Oryzias latipes: one gene and its partner. The protein of the gene in region 1 purifies or fractionates together with the protein of each later gene. This does not show direct contact. Links are inferred from orthologs where the notes say so. Each region holds a gene or a part of one and is shown in the gene's direction. Other genes may lie near its edges.

What was found.
Region 2: the proteins of dnajb4 (region 1) and bag2 purify together in Homo sapiens (affinity purification with mass spectrometry; 4 studies listed by BioGRID and IntAct, with this or other methods). This does not show direct contact. The link is inferred for Oryzias latipes from reciprocal best matches to the Homo sapiens genes DNAJB4 and BAG2.

What each region holds. Positions count from the first base shown.
Region 1 is NC_019875.2:4,285,730-4,294,381, forward strand, and holds the end of dnajb4 (dnaJ homolog subfamily B member 4), read left to right. Parts: intron 1-2,592; coding exon 2,593-3,173; intron 3,174-5,198; coding exon 5,199-5,429; 3' UTR 5,430-5,696; downstream 5,697-8,652. UniProt on the Homo sapiens protein: Probable chaperone. Stimulates ATP hydrolysis and the folding of unfolded proteins mediated by HSPA1A/B (in vitro).
Region 2 is NC_019873.2:24,428,859-24,437,510, forward strand, and holds bag2 (BAG family molecular chaperone regulator 2), read left to right. Parts: upstream 1-3,059; 5' UTR 3,060-3,213; coding exon 3,214-3,335; intron 3,336-3,477; coding exon 3,478-3,587; intron 3,588-4,768; coding exon 4,769-5,163; 3' UTR 5,164-5,757; downstream 5,758-8,652. Other genes in the region: E3 SUMO-protein ligase ZNF451, read left to right, coding at 1-848, 932-1,006, 1,123-1,188, 1,799-1,839. UniProt on the Homo sapiens protein: Co-chaperone for HSP70 and HSC70 chaperone proteins. Acts as a nucleotide-exchange factor (NEF) promoting the release of ADP from the HSP70 and HSC70 proteins thereby triggering client/substrate protein release.

The sequences.
Region 1 (8,652 bases):
TGCAGTTATTGAGGGTTTGGCTTCATGCTTCTTATTTTTTTAAATATAAAAACGACCCACAGCTGAGTTCTGCACCCATTTTTGAAGCATGAAGTGCTTTATTCTTGTCCCTATTCTTTAACTATGACTTTTTTCATATTTTATCACTTTAATATTTTATTTTCACTTTTATTTTATTACGTCAAAGGGTGATGACAAACCGCTGATTATCTGTGAAAATCAGGTATGGATGCTGACACTGAAGAACTAATCTGCCTGAGTCAGAAGATGAGTCATGTCTTTAATGGGTCTGGAAATGTCTTTCCATCATTAATGAGTGACATTCCACCATTTTCACTAGAATCATATCAGCATCACACGATTTACACTCAAGTTACCTTTACAGGCCACATTTTTAGCCTCAATAGATGGTTTTGAAATGCACCATCTGCATCCCTTTAAGAAAGGAATGCTTTTCCACTATTGCCATGGTTACCACAGAAGTGTGGATGGAGGAAGAAGAGCAACCTACTGTGTGGTTTTGACACCATCACCTTTCAAAGATCCACAGAAATGCTTTTAGATGTGTGGGATTCAGGATGAAGGCAGGATTAAATGTAGCCAAATCTATAGTTTCTTTAAGTATTTTTTATTTTATAACCCTTGTGCTATCTTCTTGCGCTGAGCAAGCCAATACCTGTCTTTTGGGGTCCAGATGACTGAACCTTTTTTCTTCTTTTGTGATCTTCACTGGTGTCCATGGATTACATGAAATCCTTCCACCTTTATCCACCTTTGTCATAGTAGGGAGAACATGTCAATTAGGGTGGGGTCATCTGGACCCCACAGGATAGCATAAGGGTTACTGGGATTAACGATGTAAAGTTGGTTACAATCTAAAGACCGTGTCATACAGCCGCTACATACTTTTTCCTGATTTTCCTCGTATGAAATTTCGGTCTTTCGTGACACATTCAGGACATTCGTCATTCATAAGTGCTTCTTGCGTTCGTCGATGTGCATAGATGTCCGTCGGTTTCAGCTGACGGTCTTTGGGTGAATTTGGTTTTGAGCTATTCAAAATTTTCGGGCGGTTGAGATTTACACTGTTTGGCGTATACTTACATAGAATGGCGTATACTTATATAGTGCTTTCTACCTTCTTTCAAAGGCCCAAAGCGCTTAACAGTCACAGTCCCATTCACCCATGCTCACACACACATTCACACACTGGCACCAACCTCCCACCAGAGGCAAGGTGGGGTTCAGTGTCTTGCCCAAGGACACTTCGACTCATGGGCGTGCAAGGCGGGAATCGAACGCGGAATATTACAATTATGGGTCGACCGCCCTACCGCTGCACCACGGCCGCCCATTTACTGTTGTTTAATTATTACGCAAATCTTACGCAATTGTGCGTGATTTTTGCGAGATGCATATGCAAATTTGTGTCTTTCCACAACCGTTCCACGAATGTCTAACAGATTTTTCACGCATGAACCACCGATGTGTAACTTTCATATTGCGTGTATGGCGCACATTTCATGTTAAAAATATGTAATTGACACATGAATTTTGGGCCAGGTTTGGCTTTTACGTCGATTTTACGTGTTATTTGCGTGGTTCATTCGTACTCCCTCTTCGGTTTTAGGGTGATTCATTTTTGATACATCTGTGAAAATTTCACATAAAGACCACAACTTTCTCAATCTTTTCACGTATGACCAATTTTCATCCGTGCAATATGCGAGAAAAAACTGTGACACGGCCGCAAGAATTTTCTCAGATTTTGTTTTGTTTCAAAGGCCCTCACTTTATGATCAACCTGGCAGGAGAAAAAGGTGTTTAAGTGGGTGAAGAGGTCTAGTCTTCCCCTTATATATCTAAGACTGTATTCAGACTGGACATTTGGTTCGCTTAAAGTGAACCAGAGTTTGTTTCCCCCGAAAATCCAGAATAAATTTTCATTATGGTCATACCCAACCGGCCCCTGGTCCGGGAGCAGAAACCGCTCTCGGACCCATCTCTCAAGGTGGTCAAAACAGGAAAGTACAGTAGACGGCAGTCTGAATACAGACTAAGTGCAAACTTCAGGGCTCGATCTGGACCAATGGACTTTTTTCAGTCTGAACACACCGTCAAAGTCCAAGTCATTGTTGTTTTCCATTAAACTTACCGTAGGATAATTGATCATAGTTTAACCTCTGAGAAAAGACATATCTTTCAGCATATTTTACCATCAGAGGTATCATCGATCTACTGTTAACTTCATAAAGTGAAACCGTCTGAGAGATCCAAAGCTTTACTCCTCCTCACCAACTTTATTGGAGACTGCAGATCTTCTTTGGAGAAAAACTGTACTAGAAGTCCGGATCACATGACTAAGCTCTCAGATAAATGGTAAATGACAAGCAAACACAAGACACATTTTCAAATGTGAAAAAACTGTCAGAACAACAGTTTTTTTCCTGTAATTTTGTAATTTAACAGAGCTGCTCGTGGATTTGTTGCATTCAGTTCGTTGCATCCTCACATTTACAGCCTGTTGTTGCATTGTGACACATTATCTCCTCTGTGTCACGATACTGATGACTAACTTGTGTTGTCCATCAGGTCTGAAGGGTGGAAGTGCTCCGGCTGGCGATGGACAGGGCACCAACTTCACCTACACCTTCCATGGAGACCCTCATGCCACCTTTGCCACTTTTTTTGGTGGCTCCAACCCTTTCGAGATGTTCTTTGGGCGCAAAGCCAACGGACGAGACGACGAGGACATGGATGTGGATGGGAACGACCCCTTTGGCTCCTTCACCAGCTTCAACATGAACGGCTTCCCTCGGGACGGCCACGTGGGCCTTGGCGGGCAGCAGCGTCGGAAGCAAGACCCCCCCATCGTGCATGAACTGAGGGTCACCCTGGAAGAAGTCTTCCACGGCTGCACCAAGAGAATGAAAATCTCCCGCAAAAGGCTGAACCCAGACGGCAGGACCATGCGAACGGAGGATAAGATCCTCACCATTGAGATCAAGAGAGGCTGGAAGGAGGGGACAAAGATCACATTCCCACGGGAAGGCGACGAGTCGCCCAACACCATTCCCGCTGACATCGTCTTCGTCATCAAGGACAAACCTCACCCGCACTTCAGGCGAGAGGGCTCCAACATCGTGTATCCTGTTCGTGTGAGCTTAAGACAGGTGCGTTAGTTCTATTTCAGTCTGGTACATGGATTCGTCATATCGGCGAGTTTATGAGCAAGTTCACTTTGAGTGGAGAACAAAGCTCCAAGCTTTGGACGCCAAACAGCTGCGTTACAATCAATAAACCGGAGGAAGTCTACCTCAAACCCCGTACTGAATGAACATAGTGCTGATCTACACACAAACACTTATGCAACCGACATCATCCACATGGAGGAATGGGATCTTCACGACCCTTGCAAGGCGACGGTCGCCCACACGCAACATGTACTTTTCTGGTTCCTCCCACTCTCCTCGGCTCTCAGTGAGAAATTTCACAGCCTCGTCTCTGAATGTCTGATCGCCGCACGCTAACCACACAAGATCAGCCCATTCCCGCAGTGAAACACACCCAAAAAAACTATCCGTCACCATGACGGCAACGGTGAAACTGTAGACCGAGACGAGAGTTTCAGGTCGTTTCACTGTCAGAGGTTTTCCTTTGTTTTCCAAAAGTTTGAACCGGAATAAGAAACAGTTAAACTAAAAGATAAGGCAGTCTAGAGCAGACAAATGACCTGATGATGATTGTTGAGGTTAGTTTGAGCACAACAGTGCAAAGCGGTGTAGCCTCAAACTCTGACAGTCTCATCATCATCACACAGGTCAAGAGTGCAGCACTCACACTTGGACCTTTGTATCTAGACAAATGGAGGAGACAGATTCCATCAAGTTCTCGTGAGAAACAGCTCTCCACAAATAACATCTGATGATAAAGAAGCTTCAAGATGCTTGAGAAATGTCAGATCACAGCTTTGTCACAGTAACACTGCTGTAGCTCCAGATCAGTACAAGTAATTATACATTGCAAAAAAGTATAAAAGGAGACTATTAAATACATATCTGCTTTGTAATGGGTCTAAAGTGATTATGCTGTAGAAAAACTAAGTCATACCCTAACAGTTTCCTGCTAACGTCTAAAAACATGTCATCTATGAAGGCTTTCACCTTTCCATTGGACTGTGACACCTCAAACCCAACGCATGATTCGACTCCCCCATGATTATTTTAACCCACGCCCATCATCTAGAATGGAAGCCCCACTCCGATCATATTTTGATCTATTTTTAAAGCGTTCCCAGTGGTTTTTCAATGATGATTATGTGGTTTCTAGCCAAAATCTAAAAACCTGTATCATTTTCTAAGACATAGTTTCTGCAGAGTGGCAGGAGTTCATCTCTGATTGTGGGCAGGACTGCTGGGTGGAAGTAACCCTCCTCTTACATCCCATTATCCCTTTGTTTACACTCTCTCTCACTAGCTTACAGCCCCTCACACCCCCAAACTAACATTTGCGGTGCAACAAAAATGGCGAGCAATGTTGGAGCTATCGAGGCGTCCAGTTCAGATCCAGATTCCAGCTCAGACCAGGAAAACAATGATGCTCATGGATCTTTTGGACTGCAGGTGGATGATCAGAATGCAGCAGAGCAGGAAGACTTTGGTCCCCCCAATTTCTGTTGCTGTATCACAAACATAAGCTTTTTCAAACAGGGTTTTCCTCTGCTCCAGATTCGCAACAAATTCAACAAAGAAATACTCAGAAATGCAATTAATCTGAACTTTCTTTATATATGTCCTCCATCATCAGAAAATGCTACAATAGCATGAAAAAAAGCACAATTTTCATTGGTGTGTGGGTCTTTTAGGAGATGTGATGCAGACTTTAGAGAAAACTCACTCCATAAATAAACATACAGTTTCCTAAACACTTTACGTCACTGTAAAATAACACTTGGCCTTTAAAATATATTTTATATTTCAAGTGAAAAAGCTATTAGCAGATTTATTTTTTACATTTGATATACTGTAGTTTTTTAAATAAATCATTGTTTACACAGTTTCAGCTGATACAGAAGAACGTATAGTTTAGGGTCAAGACAATAGCTGAAGGTTTTATTCCGTGCATTTCAGTTCTCACCTGCAGACGACCACAGGCGTGTTTCTACTGTCTAACTGGGCGTCCTTTTGTTTACTTTGCAGTCCTTGTGTGGATGCTCGGTCACCGTGTCAACAATAGACGGGAAGACATGCAACATGAAAATCACGGATGTAATCAAGCCTGGCCTGAGAAAAACGGTGACGGGACAGGGTCTACCTTTGCCCAAAAACCCGGAGCAGAGGGGCGACCTGGTGGTGGAGTTTGACGTGAACTTTCCGGATGCGTTGCCTGGCAACGCCAAGGACGTCCTGAAGCGGCACTTGCCTGCTTAGTGCGAGGCAGCAGCATGACGGCGCTCAGACCCTGAGAGGAGACACAGCCGCTGGAGACCAGCTGTGACGGTACGCAGACGGACGCCCAACCGACGAATGTGCAATTTCTATTTTTGAGCTTTTCTAACTGTCACGCATGCTGCCAAACTGATACAAGTGCAATGAAAGACTGTCTGGACTGTTATGTACTGGGTTGGATGGAAGCTGGCTTTTGCCACAGTCACAGCAGATGACGTTTGGTTGCAAAAATATATTTGCCAAAAAAAATCTTACAGAACTCCTGGAAGAAATGTATTGCCAAATGAAACCTTGATTCTTATAGGTCTGACCTGATTCAGTGACCTGTGTGAAACTCTCTTTAGTGTTTTATTTTGATGGATTCTGAAGCTCTCTTAATATTTGTGTGCAAGATATCCAAGAGGTATATGGCTGTATGCAACAAGTGCATTGTAGGCAAAGACTTTCAAGGCCGTGTCACACAGCCACTGCGTACATTTTGCGCATTTTCTACGTGTGAAATTTGAGTCTTTCGTGATCCAGGCGTGATATCCATTCGTGTTTCTTGGGTTCGTCATTCATCGATGCACGCAGATGGTGTGGAATTATGCAGTTTACGCATATTTTACGTAGTTTAATTATTACGTGAAGCTTACACACTTACGCGTGGTTCGCAAATTTGTGTATTCCCACGACCGCTCCACGTATGTCTAACAGACTTTTCATGCATGTACAACTGACGTCTAACTTTCCTATCGCGTATACGGCGCACATTTCATGTTAAAATTATGTAATCGATGCACAAATCACTAATAAATTGCCATGTAAACAGCGCAATAATCTCACACGGTTCATGTTCTACGTTGATTTACGTGTTCTGGTCCAGATGACCCCACTCCCAATGTTAACGTTGGAGGTGGGGTCATCTAGACCCACTAGACAGTGCTCTGAACCTTTTTTCATCAATGATTTGTGATCTTCACTGGTGTCCATGGATTACATGAAGTCTTTTCACCTTTATCCACCTTTGTCATGGTAGGGAGAACACGTCAATGTAAGGGTGGGGTCATCTGGACCCCACTAGATAGCACAAGGGTTATTCAGTTACGACCAATTTTCCTCCGTACGCTGCAATATGTGCTAATTATACGTAGTGGCTGTGCGACACGACCTTTTTAGATGATTCTTTGTTGTTTCAGTTATGGAGTAGAAGCTTCTGCAGATTTCTCCTCCGTGAAATCAAGTGTGTATTAACTGTACTTGATTTAGCATTGCTCCTACTCTTTGTTTTATTGGTAGTCTGTGTAGCATTTCTCCAAAAAAGGAAAATGACTTCATGAAAACAGGTTCTTCACAGCAGCGGGAGAAAAGTAAATGATATCTATTTTGATAGCTTACTGTGAATATTTTGTTGTTGGTAACCAGATATGTACATTTTGGATATGCAAACATCAGAATAAAAAAACCCCCACTGTTTAAGGAAGAGCTATGATGACATAATTATGACTGTGTAAATATAGCTGCCAGCTCTAAGCTGCTTAGTGTCAGCCTCTGACACAGGAGGCCTCTGCCCCACCAGGGGACGCCACATCACCCATCGCAGTGTGGGGGTCTGGAGACGAACCCTGGAGGGGCTTTCTGTGAGCGATGCTCTCCAGTGCAGCCCTGAGAACGTCTTCTGCAATGTTTGCATCGCATGGTAACTGCATGCAATAAACGGAATCACTTTTTGGAATTGATCGTCAAGTTCTAATCAGTGGGTTTGGAAATGAAGAGTGGTAACTTCATTTTTTTGTTTTAGATGCATTAATTATTAAATTTAATCTAAAAACGTGGTGAACGGAAAATTCTGACGGTCTTAATCGTTTTAGCCAAAATGGAGAATTTTAAAAACTAACTAAATAAATAAAGGTAAGGGTCAAAAATATGCTGTTGAGTCAAAACTTCAGACTATAAAAGTGAAATTCTACAGTAAAAGTATAATATTCTGAACAAACCTTTGAGGGAAAAAAATAATTTTGTTCTAATTAAGTTGAAAAAATTAAGAATAAAGTAAAAATTCTGTGTTATATATTTTTATTTTGATAAGTCAGAAGTTCAATGCACTTTTTGTCTGAATCTGTTTATGGTGATGAGGCATTTATGCTGGGAAATAAGTCATTTTTGGCTTGTGCTGTTTTTGTCCACACGTTTGAAAAGCTGCGTTTAAAATAAAATAAAGCCAAGGCAGTTTTATAGACATTTTCAGAATAATTCTCCTAATTGACAGTAATTAAACAAGAGTCCTCCAAAGGGATATTTTTCACCGATGTGACAGGAAAGACATGGTTTGGATGCCGTTATTTGGTTCTGTTTAGATTCTGCAACACTTTATAGACACTTCATTGTGTTATGTGTTGTATAGATGTAGTGCTATTTGTTGTCTTTTGTTATCTGTTCTTTTATTAATATGATCTTGTTTTTTGAGCTGTGGTAAGAAATCCTTTTCCCTGTCTTGGGATCATTCAAAGTTCCATCTATATATCTATAAAATAAGCAACAGTTTGATTAAAGCTGCAAAAACTCGTTTTTGTAGCTCGAGAACTTTGATTGACCTTTTCTGGTCATAGTAATAATGGTTAGAGTCAAAACTCGCTAAATAGTTTGGTTGTTATATTTAAGTAACATGTTCAGTAAGTTGTGGGCGTTCATTTACATTTTCAGTAAAATACATTAAATTAAATGATACAAACTTCCTGAGTACGTCTTAAAAGGCTCCTGCTGCTACACTTGAAGTTTATTTGATGAAGTATACTTGAGTATAAGTAGAAAAAGTCTACTATAGACCATGTAGTTGGAAGTATTCTAACTAAATACTTCTTCAGACTACATTGGAACATTTTAAGTTTTACAATAGATACTAAATAAATAGTAGCCTTCAAGTGTACTACTTGTAGTAAGTACACTTGTAGTACTTTTTACTGAAGGTCCATTTGTTATAATGATCAACAAACAGATACAACATTTCAGGGAGCTTTATTATTATTTCCTCTGGATCTAACACCTGTTGTTGTTGTTGTTTGGACTTTGCCTCGCTGCGGGGGGGGGGCTCAGCAAAGGTGGGCGGCGCGCAGGTGCACGACGGCCCCTGATCCCGGCCCGTCCCACTGCGCCTGCGCACCGCGGCACGCTGACAGACAAACAGAGGAGCTTTTGTTAGTCGAGGAGCAGCAGCAGGTTGTGAAGA
Region 2 (8,652 bases), on another chromosome or scaffold:
TCATGTGTCCGACGTTCACAGAGGACACACCTACATCGCAGAGCAAGAAGTGCCTGACGATCTCCAGGCCAAACCCTCCACCAGCAGCGAAGCCGCCACGTCCTCTTCCGGCAGATCCAAGGTCCAGCAGAACACCGTCGAGACGTCGTCCTCCGTGGCACGCGGCCTCACCTGGATGTGCAGGATGTGCGAGGACGTCTTCGACTCGGAAGTTGCCATCCGCAAACACTGCAGTGACATCAGCAGCCACAGCTTTCAGAGGTTTATCTGTGGACACTGTCCCCAAAAGTTCTTCAAGGAGTCCACCGTGAGAAGACACTGCACGAACGAGCACGGCGGGGACATAAAGAGTTGGTACTTTTGCGGCCTCTGCGACAGCATGCAGATGGATTCTGAGGCCGAGCTCCTGGAGCATTACCGGAGCCTTCACAGCAGGGATTACTGCTGCATGGACGACGCCGACGTTCTCCAACCGGCTGCTGCGATGCTTCCTCTGGACTGTCCCTGCATGTCTTCAGAAGGCAACAAGGAAACAGTGACGGGGGTTTATACCAGATGCATGAAAGAGTTGGCTGCAGAGGGGAAATGCCAGTACGTGTGTCCTCCCTGCAGCGTGTCCGTGCCAACGTACGCGCAGATCAAGACTCACGTGCACACAAAGCACCCCAGCCTGAACCTGGACAAGACATTTGAAGTACAATGCAACATGTGTCACCAGAGTTATATGGGTGTTCCAGGTTTCCATAAACACTATCATCACTGTCACTGCACGCTAGAGCCCTGCAGGAGCTCCAGGAAGAGCTCAGAGGCAGAGCCCACTCGTGTGGAGGTCAAAGCACACAAACGCCGTAAGTTCACCAAAGGAGGCTGACTTTAGCGTTTGTGTTTGGAGACTGCAGCACTTTTGATTCCAGTTTTTCATGATTCACAGAGATCCAGGATGAAACTCTGGGGAAGTTTCTGAAAGACGATCAGATCAACAACGAAAGAGATGAAACTGCCATGGGTAAACATTTACAGTAACGTGTCATGAATAAACATGACGGAGTTGAAGTAATTCTATCAGTTTGAAAAACCATATGTTTGATCCGATTAAAAAATCAGTTTTGTTGTCTGTTGCAGAGACCTCTGATGATGAGATGAAACACGCTCTGCCTGTAAGTGCAGAAGAAGCCAGAGAGTCAGCAGGTCTGTTTTCACAACAAAAAAAAAAACAACCTTTTTTTCAAAAGCTATAATAAAAAAGCAGTAATTATTAGTTTAGTACAAACTGTATATTTTAAAATGTAAAAAGTTTAGAGATTGGTATTTTTTATAGATCATTGTTTTTGTAAAATGAGCCAACATGTCAAAAAGATTTGAATGTTAAGACCTACTACAATGAAAATGTTTTTTTTCCAACATGTCTTCTAATGATGGAAACGCATATTAAGAAAATTAAGCTCAAATTTGCATTTGTAAAAAAATAAAAAGTCATATTTGTGTTGTTGAAACTGCACTGGGCGGCCCACAAGCTCCCTGCTTCTAGCGCTCCGAAAGGGAAAGGGGGCGGAGTTGCTCCGTGCCAGTGGTCCCGCCCACAATTCAGCTCTGCAGAAACTATGTCCTAAGAAAAACAACACAGGCTTTTTTTGTATTTTGACTAAAAGCAGCATAAACGGGATTAAAAGATCACTTTGAAAATAGCTTCAAAGATGATCGGAGTGGGTCTTTAAAATGGCCTCTGCTGTTTTTATGTTGTTTTATAATGGAGTGTCATTTTCAACTTTTTTTTTTTTCTTGTTTTTCTTTCCCGCAGAGTTGGAGGAAGCTCTTCAGAGAAGTCTTGTGGAGTTCTAAGTGCTTTCTAAATGAAGTAGTTCCTGTTGTTCACCTGTCACGTTGACCTTTTTTACTCAAGGTCATTGTTTTCAGAAGTTATAAATAAAAGTCATGAATTATTTGAATTGATTTACTTCCTTTAGCAGCCAAAGTCAGCAGTTCTTGGGGCAGACAGTGGGTTTTAAAGCTAGTTAGAAGCTGAGGGTTTATAAAAAGTCAGACGTTCTAAACATTGAAGCTATGTGTCACGTGTTCACACACACACACACACACACACACACAGGATTGTGGTGACACAGCTAGATGCCTGGGCTGACCTCGTGACCGCAGACCAACCGCTCCTCCACCTCTCTGGTTTCACTACAGACGTGAGGATTCTCTTTACCGGCTGCTCAGACGTCAGAAATGAATGAGCAGAAATTGTATTTTTTCTACAGAAAAGTTTGTATGAAACATCATTACATGAGTTCAACTTAAAGAAAAAGGTTTTTTGTGTAAAAGTGTGAGTGAATAACAGGGACAGAACGGTTTTCCTAAAAAGTACTCTCTGTGAAAATATTTTTCTTTAATAAAGATATAATAACGGAGCATGACGTTTGGTCATTGAATGTTACATTTGATTATTTTGTTCGGAGAACAGAAAAAAAAAACAGTTTGGAGACCTGTTGGTTGGTAAAATAGATGGAATCTATCTTTGTGGCTTGAAGCAATAGAGATAATGGTAACAAGCACCTGTCACCTCATCAGCGCCCCCTAAAGGTGGTTTTGTTACATTGTGTCTTTGCTTTTTTCTTTTAACTAAAATGATGAAAAAGTGCCACTTGTACAAATTGATGAGAGTTGCAAATGTCATGTTTAACAAACCTGTATGAACTCTGCAAAAATATTATTCAAATCATGCAGAAAACAGTTATTGGACAATACTATTATTTTATATTTACTTGATGTATTCGTCTTTTAGTTTATTTTTATTTTCTAATCAATTTATGACAATTGTTTTTTTGCCTCCTAATTATATAAAAGTTCCAGAAAAAATAAGCTTTCTCTCCCCCTGTTCCCTTTTATCTCCCAGATATAAAATCTTGTGTAAAATAAAATCTGTTGTTTTATGGAAATTCAAATAAAGCATTTTAAAGCTAAAGCGCTCCTCACTCAGAGCCCCCTGTTGGAGCCCCCTGTCTGGGTTGGAGCCTCCTCTCTGGGTTCCTCGGGAAGTTTCTGTGAGGAGGAGGAAGAGGAGGAAGCTGAAGCCCATGTTAGGAAATGTTGTCCCAGGGGCGCTGCTGCCTGTAGCCTGAGGAATTACTGGTCAGGCGGAGAGCTTAAAGCGCCGCTCACTCTTTGGATTGACTGATCGGACTACAGAAACTCGGCACTGCAGCACTAATTATTATGGCTCAGGCGAAAATCCAGGCGAAGATGAACGAAGCGGTCTGCAGCAAGTTCAGCAGGACACTGTCCATGGCTGATCGCTCCGGAAGACTGCTGGAAACTCTGGATCAGCTGGAAATCAGGTACAATAACGGGCCTCGCCATGCGCGTCTTCTTTGGAGGTGCTCTCGTTCGTTTGACACTGTGGCGTAACTTTAACAACTGAACGTGATTGGAAGGAAAAAGAAAAGCTGTTTTTTTTTGACGGATGTTTGTTTTTGTCAGGGTGGAGGCTTTAAGAGAAACAGCATCCGCCCTGGAGCAGGAAAGAGAAGGCATCCTGGAAATGATTCAATCCATCCAGAACAGTCAAGAAATGCGTAACATCTGTGCGGGTGAGGCTGCTAATTCTCTCCCACAACTTACATAAGAGCACAAGTCATCCGCTGCTTAATACCAGTGAAGAGTGGCTTAACTTTCCAGTAATCTTAATTCCTGTTTTTTGCTACTTTGATCCTGTGGTGATAAAAGGAAAACTTTGCGTGATGGTCAAGAAACTGAAAAGAACAATGTGCTCCACCCAAAATGCATCACATGTCTCACCCATAGAGGTCCCATTTCACCTCTGTGTCTTTCTATTAAACCCTCTAAAAGGAACACACTATACTTCTGAGTCCAACATAGCAAGTTTACTACAAGATATAAACTTTTTTTCATGGTATAAGTAGAAAGAAAAATTCTGTTCTTTTCATGGTACCATATTATATTTACATATTCAACATAAGTCCACACATTTTCATGAATAGAAAGGAACAAAAAAAATGAAATTCTTGTTATATTTCTGCCCCTATATCAAATCTTAAAGACCCACTCAGGAAAATTGTGTTTTTGGTGTTTTTAACATGTTGTTGTGGTGTTTTTCTCAAAATGCAGGACATATAGAAAGAAAATTCAGCTCATATTTCCATTTCGGTGTATTTCTTTATTCAAATTGCAAAAGCAAAAATGCCATTTGAAAAAGCTTGTAGGTTTGACGTAGAAGCTAATACAGCAGACCACAAACGTCCTGCTCTTCTCTGCTCCATTCTGATGCATCCACTTGCGGACAAATAGATCCATGTAGGTCTTTTGTTTTCCTCATCCGAGTTGGCTTCCGGCTCAAAGCTGGACGGATGGATATCTCCATTCTTGCAGGCCATTTGAGTTGCATCAGTAATGTTACGTTGGGGTTATAAAGGGCTGTAAATTTGCAGGAGAGCGTTTAAACACATAGATGTCCGGAAGCAAGGGTGGGCTTACTCCACGCCTACGGCCCCACCTACAACTTAGAGGCAGATTTCTAATGAATTCCTGCCGCTCTGCAGAAATTATGTCCTAGAAAATGACACAGGATTTTTTTATTTGGGCTAAAAATGGTATAACTATAATTACAAAACCACTCGGAACACTTTGGAAATAGATCAAAAGACGATTTATTAACATAAAATACATCAAAATAAATGAAATGAGTCAAAAACAGGTTAATAATAATATTTTTTATGACAAATTAAAGCTCTAATTTCCTTTTCTTCTGCAGGAGAAAGGGAAGAGTTGAGCTTAACTGCGAACCGTCTGATGGGCCGGACTCTGACGGTGGAGATCTCCGTTGGCACCATTAGAAACCCCCAGCAGGAGGAGGCCCTGCGGAAAGCCACATCCATGATTGACGAAATCGTAAAAAAGTTGCTGGTCGACATGGAAGGCGGTCGGCAGCAGCTGATGGCGCTGCACGCCGCCTGCGTGACCGAAGCACCGCCTGTCCCCATCGATCAGAAGTTCCAGGTTGTGGTGATCAGCTGCTCTTTGGAGGACCAGAAGAAGATCAAACAGAGGCTGGAGACGCTGGTGAGGAATGTGGAAAACGCTGAAAAGAACATCAAAATTATGGATCATCAAAAACTGGAGAGTGCAAAAACCAACTGCAGTAGTTAATAATCATCACCAAAGCATGAAGGGTGTTTTTGAATTCCACTTTACCTCACAAAGGAGAGCTGCACAAGCATGACTCTTAGGGATCCATGCATTGTAACCAACCCTGAAAAGTACACTGGTACACATTTTTTTTGTAAAAAGGTCAATTTTTACTTTAAATTTTACTACACCGACATAGCTAAAGGGCACACAGTTCACAATGTATGTTCATCAATAAGCCCAAGAAAGAACAAATACAGATGCATCACAGATTGAAGTTCAACCTTTTGAAGACAATATATAATTTTGAGCACATTTTGCAGCAATTCAGTGCTCTGACATATGAGGTGATTGACAATGCAACAACCAGTATTTTACCAATACTGTGATCGTTAACGTTGAAAATAAAATTACAAACATGTCAAATGAAACCACCTGACAGGAAGTTCGTGGAATTTATCTCAGTTGTAGAAAGACTTTTTATTTGTCTTACAGTTTTAGTTGAAAGGATTTTTGACACAAACTCTGTACGCCTTCATCTTCTGCTGTTTTTTTTTTTGTTACATTTTTATGAAACACAAAGAAAGAAAGTCAATAAAAACTGTGAGAAGCCTCTGAATATGCAGTTTCTTGTTTTCACAAATGGGGAATCCTCCTTTATTTTGTCATTTGGTTTGATAAGAACCTAAAAGCACATGTACAGTTCATAAAATTGCACAAGTCAATGCTTACAATTGGGAGAAAATATTAAAAGTTGTTTCACCATCATGTATGTAGTAGCACAAGGAAAATATGAAACTTAAAAAAAATTGTGATGATGGGACAAAAGCATTCAAAAAGAAAAGAAGGTTCTGTAGCAATTTTGAAATATGTTAAAGTAAATCAGTTTGATTAATTTAATATTATTTAGAACAGAATTATAAATAATAATGGATTGGATTTATGTGCGCTTTTCCAGACCCTCAAAGCGCTTCCGTTGTGTCCATTATTCATTCACTCTTCATTCATGGTAGAGGTGTGGCTGCTAGTATGCAGGGCTTTCTGACCATCACCGGGATCATTCATGCACATTCATGCTGGTAGGCAGTAGCGTCAAGGGTCTTGCCCAAGGACCCCCACTGAGTCATGGTAATTGCTCGCCATTGTTTATATTTATGTATCATTGTTTATTCCCCTCCTGCATGGCAGCCTTCTACCTTACCAACTGAGCTACCCAGCTTGTTATGAGAAATAGGAGCTATGTGGTGGCACAGTGGTTAGTGCTGTCACAATGGGTGGTTTAAATCTTGCCTGGGTCCTTTCTGTGTGGACTTTGCATGTACTCCTGGTGCATGTGTGGGTCCAACAACATGCTCAAAGGTTAAATGGCCTGTCTAAATTGCCCCCTGGTGTGCATGTGAGTGTGTGTGGTTGTGTGACCCTGGAACAGACTGGTGACCTGTTCAGGGTGTACCCTACCATCACCCAATAGTAGCTGGGTCCAGCAGCCCCAGCTTCCTGTGTTGTTTGGTCCAACAGATCAAATGTCACATTTGCTAATGGAAACACAGATGCCACACCCTTTTAACTAAAGCGAACCAAACTTGTGAGAAACCTCAGAATATTTAGAAAACAGGAAAATATGCTGTCATTACCCGAGAACTTTGTAGCAGAGGAAGAACATCCTGCTCCGGATGTTCACACAGCCGAGATGATAAAGCAAGAATACTTTGAATGATTTAGGATGCAGCACTCAGAGTGGGAGAACGGAGTGTCTTTAACCCTTGTGCTATCCTAGGCACTTTAAAATTGGGAGTGGGGTCATCTAGACCCCACTAGACAGTGCACTGAACCGTTTTTCTTCAATGATTTGTGATCTTCACTGTTGTCCATGAATCACATAAAATCCTCTCCACCTTTATCATGGTAGGGAGAACTCATCAAAGTAAGGGTGGGGTCATAGGATAGCACAAGGGTTACAGTGCAGCACATAATAGTATTTTAATCAATAGTAAGTGTTGTCCATTATGTTATCCAGCCAGTATATGCATTACTTTTCAGACAACCAGAACCAAACAGTTGCAGCTTTAGGGCTGGAGTCTTCACTGCTTTTGTCCATCTTTAGGAATAGCTCTGCTCTAAAGCAGAAAATCAAATAAAAAACTGTAAAAATATAAAAAAACATTGTCTTTAGTGATCTATCTAAATGTGCAATTATGCCAAATGTGATTATGTATGCAGGACATGAAACGGGCTTATTTAGATGCATTAAAGAAATGGACTGAATTATTTTGTCAAAAAAATAACAATTGTGCTTGCTTTAGTGTTAATATGACTCCAAGAAAACAACACCTCAAAACTCCCCATAATACAAAGAAAAACTGTAAAAATGTCACTCCCACGCAGATGAATCTTCCTATCAAGACGGTGCAAATGCAGTCATCACAGTATTTTTAATAAATAACTGGATTTCTTAACACATAAGATGTAAAAAGTTCAATATGTGTTGTACTTAGAAAGAAATGTTGATAAAAGAGCCTTACTTTTTATTTAGTACATAAATGTAGGCAGTTTGCAAAAGGGCTTTTGTTGTTCTGCTGATAAAATTTTACATTTACAAGAGGAAATCCAGGAAAAAGGTTTTTCACTGACACAAACTTACTCCTAAAGGGGGTTTCAGATTTTAAGATTCAGATTATAATCCAGGAAGAGTTAGCCATAAAAAACACACACAAGAAGAATTCAAGAGTTTTTTATTTGTCTGATTGCCATCAAATAGTCTCTCACATCCCACCAGCAGGCGCCCACTTTGTGTGACAGACCTCAGGCTGATGCAGAATTCGGAAAAGAAAATTCAAGATGTGTCGAGTATATTATTAAAGTGAAAACATGCCGCTGTCTGTGTCAGTTTGAAACGCGTGGAATTCATCTAAGCCGTTAAGTATACAATTAAAAAGAAAAAAAAGCACAAAAAAGATTAAAACACCTGAGTAGAAGCACATAGGAATGGCTAAATTCATTTGCAGGTTTTTTTTTTTTTTTTAGGTTAAAATGTAATAATATTGATAAAGTGCGATAAATCCATTCAGTCAAAAATGTTAAAGTAAACACTGAGATTTAAATACAGATGGACTTTCTGGGTGTTTGAGGCATAAAATGTGAACGAATGAAGAAAACAAGGCAATGGTGAAACATTCTCTGAAGAGAAAAGAAGGCTTGCATGCAGTGCAGGAGTATCTTGGTTGTATTTACCTCAGAAAAAATACCGCCAACACAGAACCGGATTTAATGGGAAACAGTTCCAATAACTGTGGAACAGGTTCTAAGCACCTTTTCCTTCCTTCAAAAAAAGAAAAAAAGAAAAGAAACGGCTTATCTGCATATGAACTATGACATTCATGTTTCTTAACTATTTAAACAGTTATCATCATGAATGAAGAAATCGTTAGTGTCCCACATAATCACATATGTCGTTGTGTTTGGTTAGTTAGATGTGAATTACTCCAGTTGGAAGAAAAAAAGGACATTTGA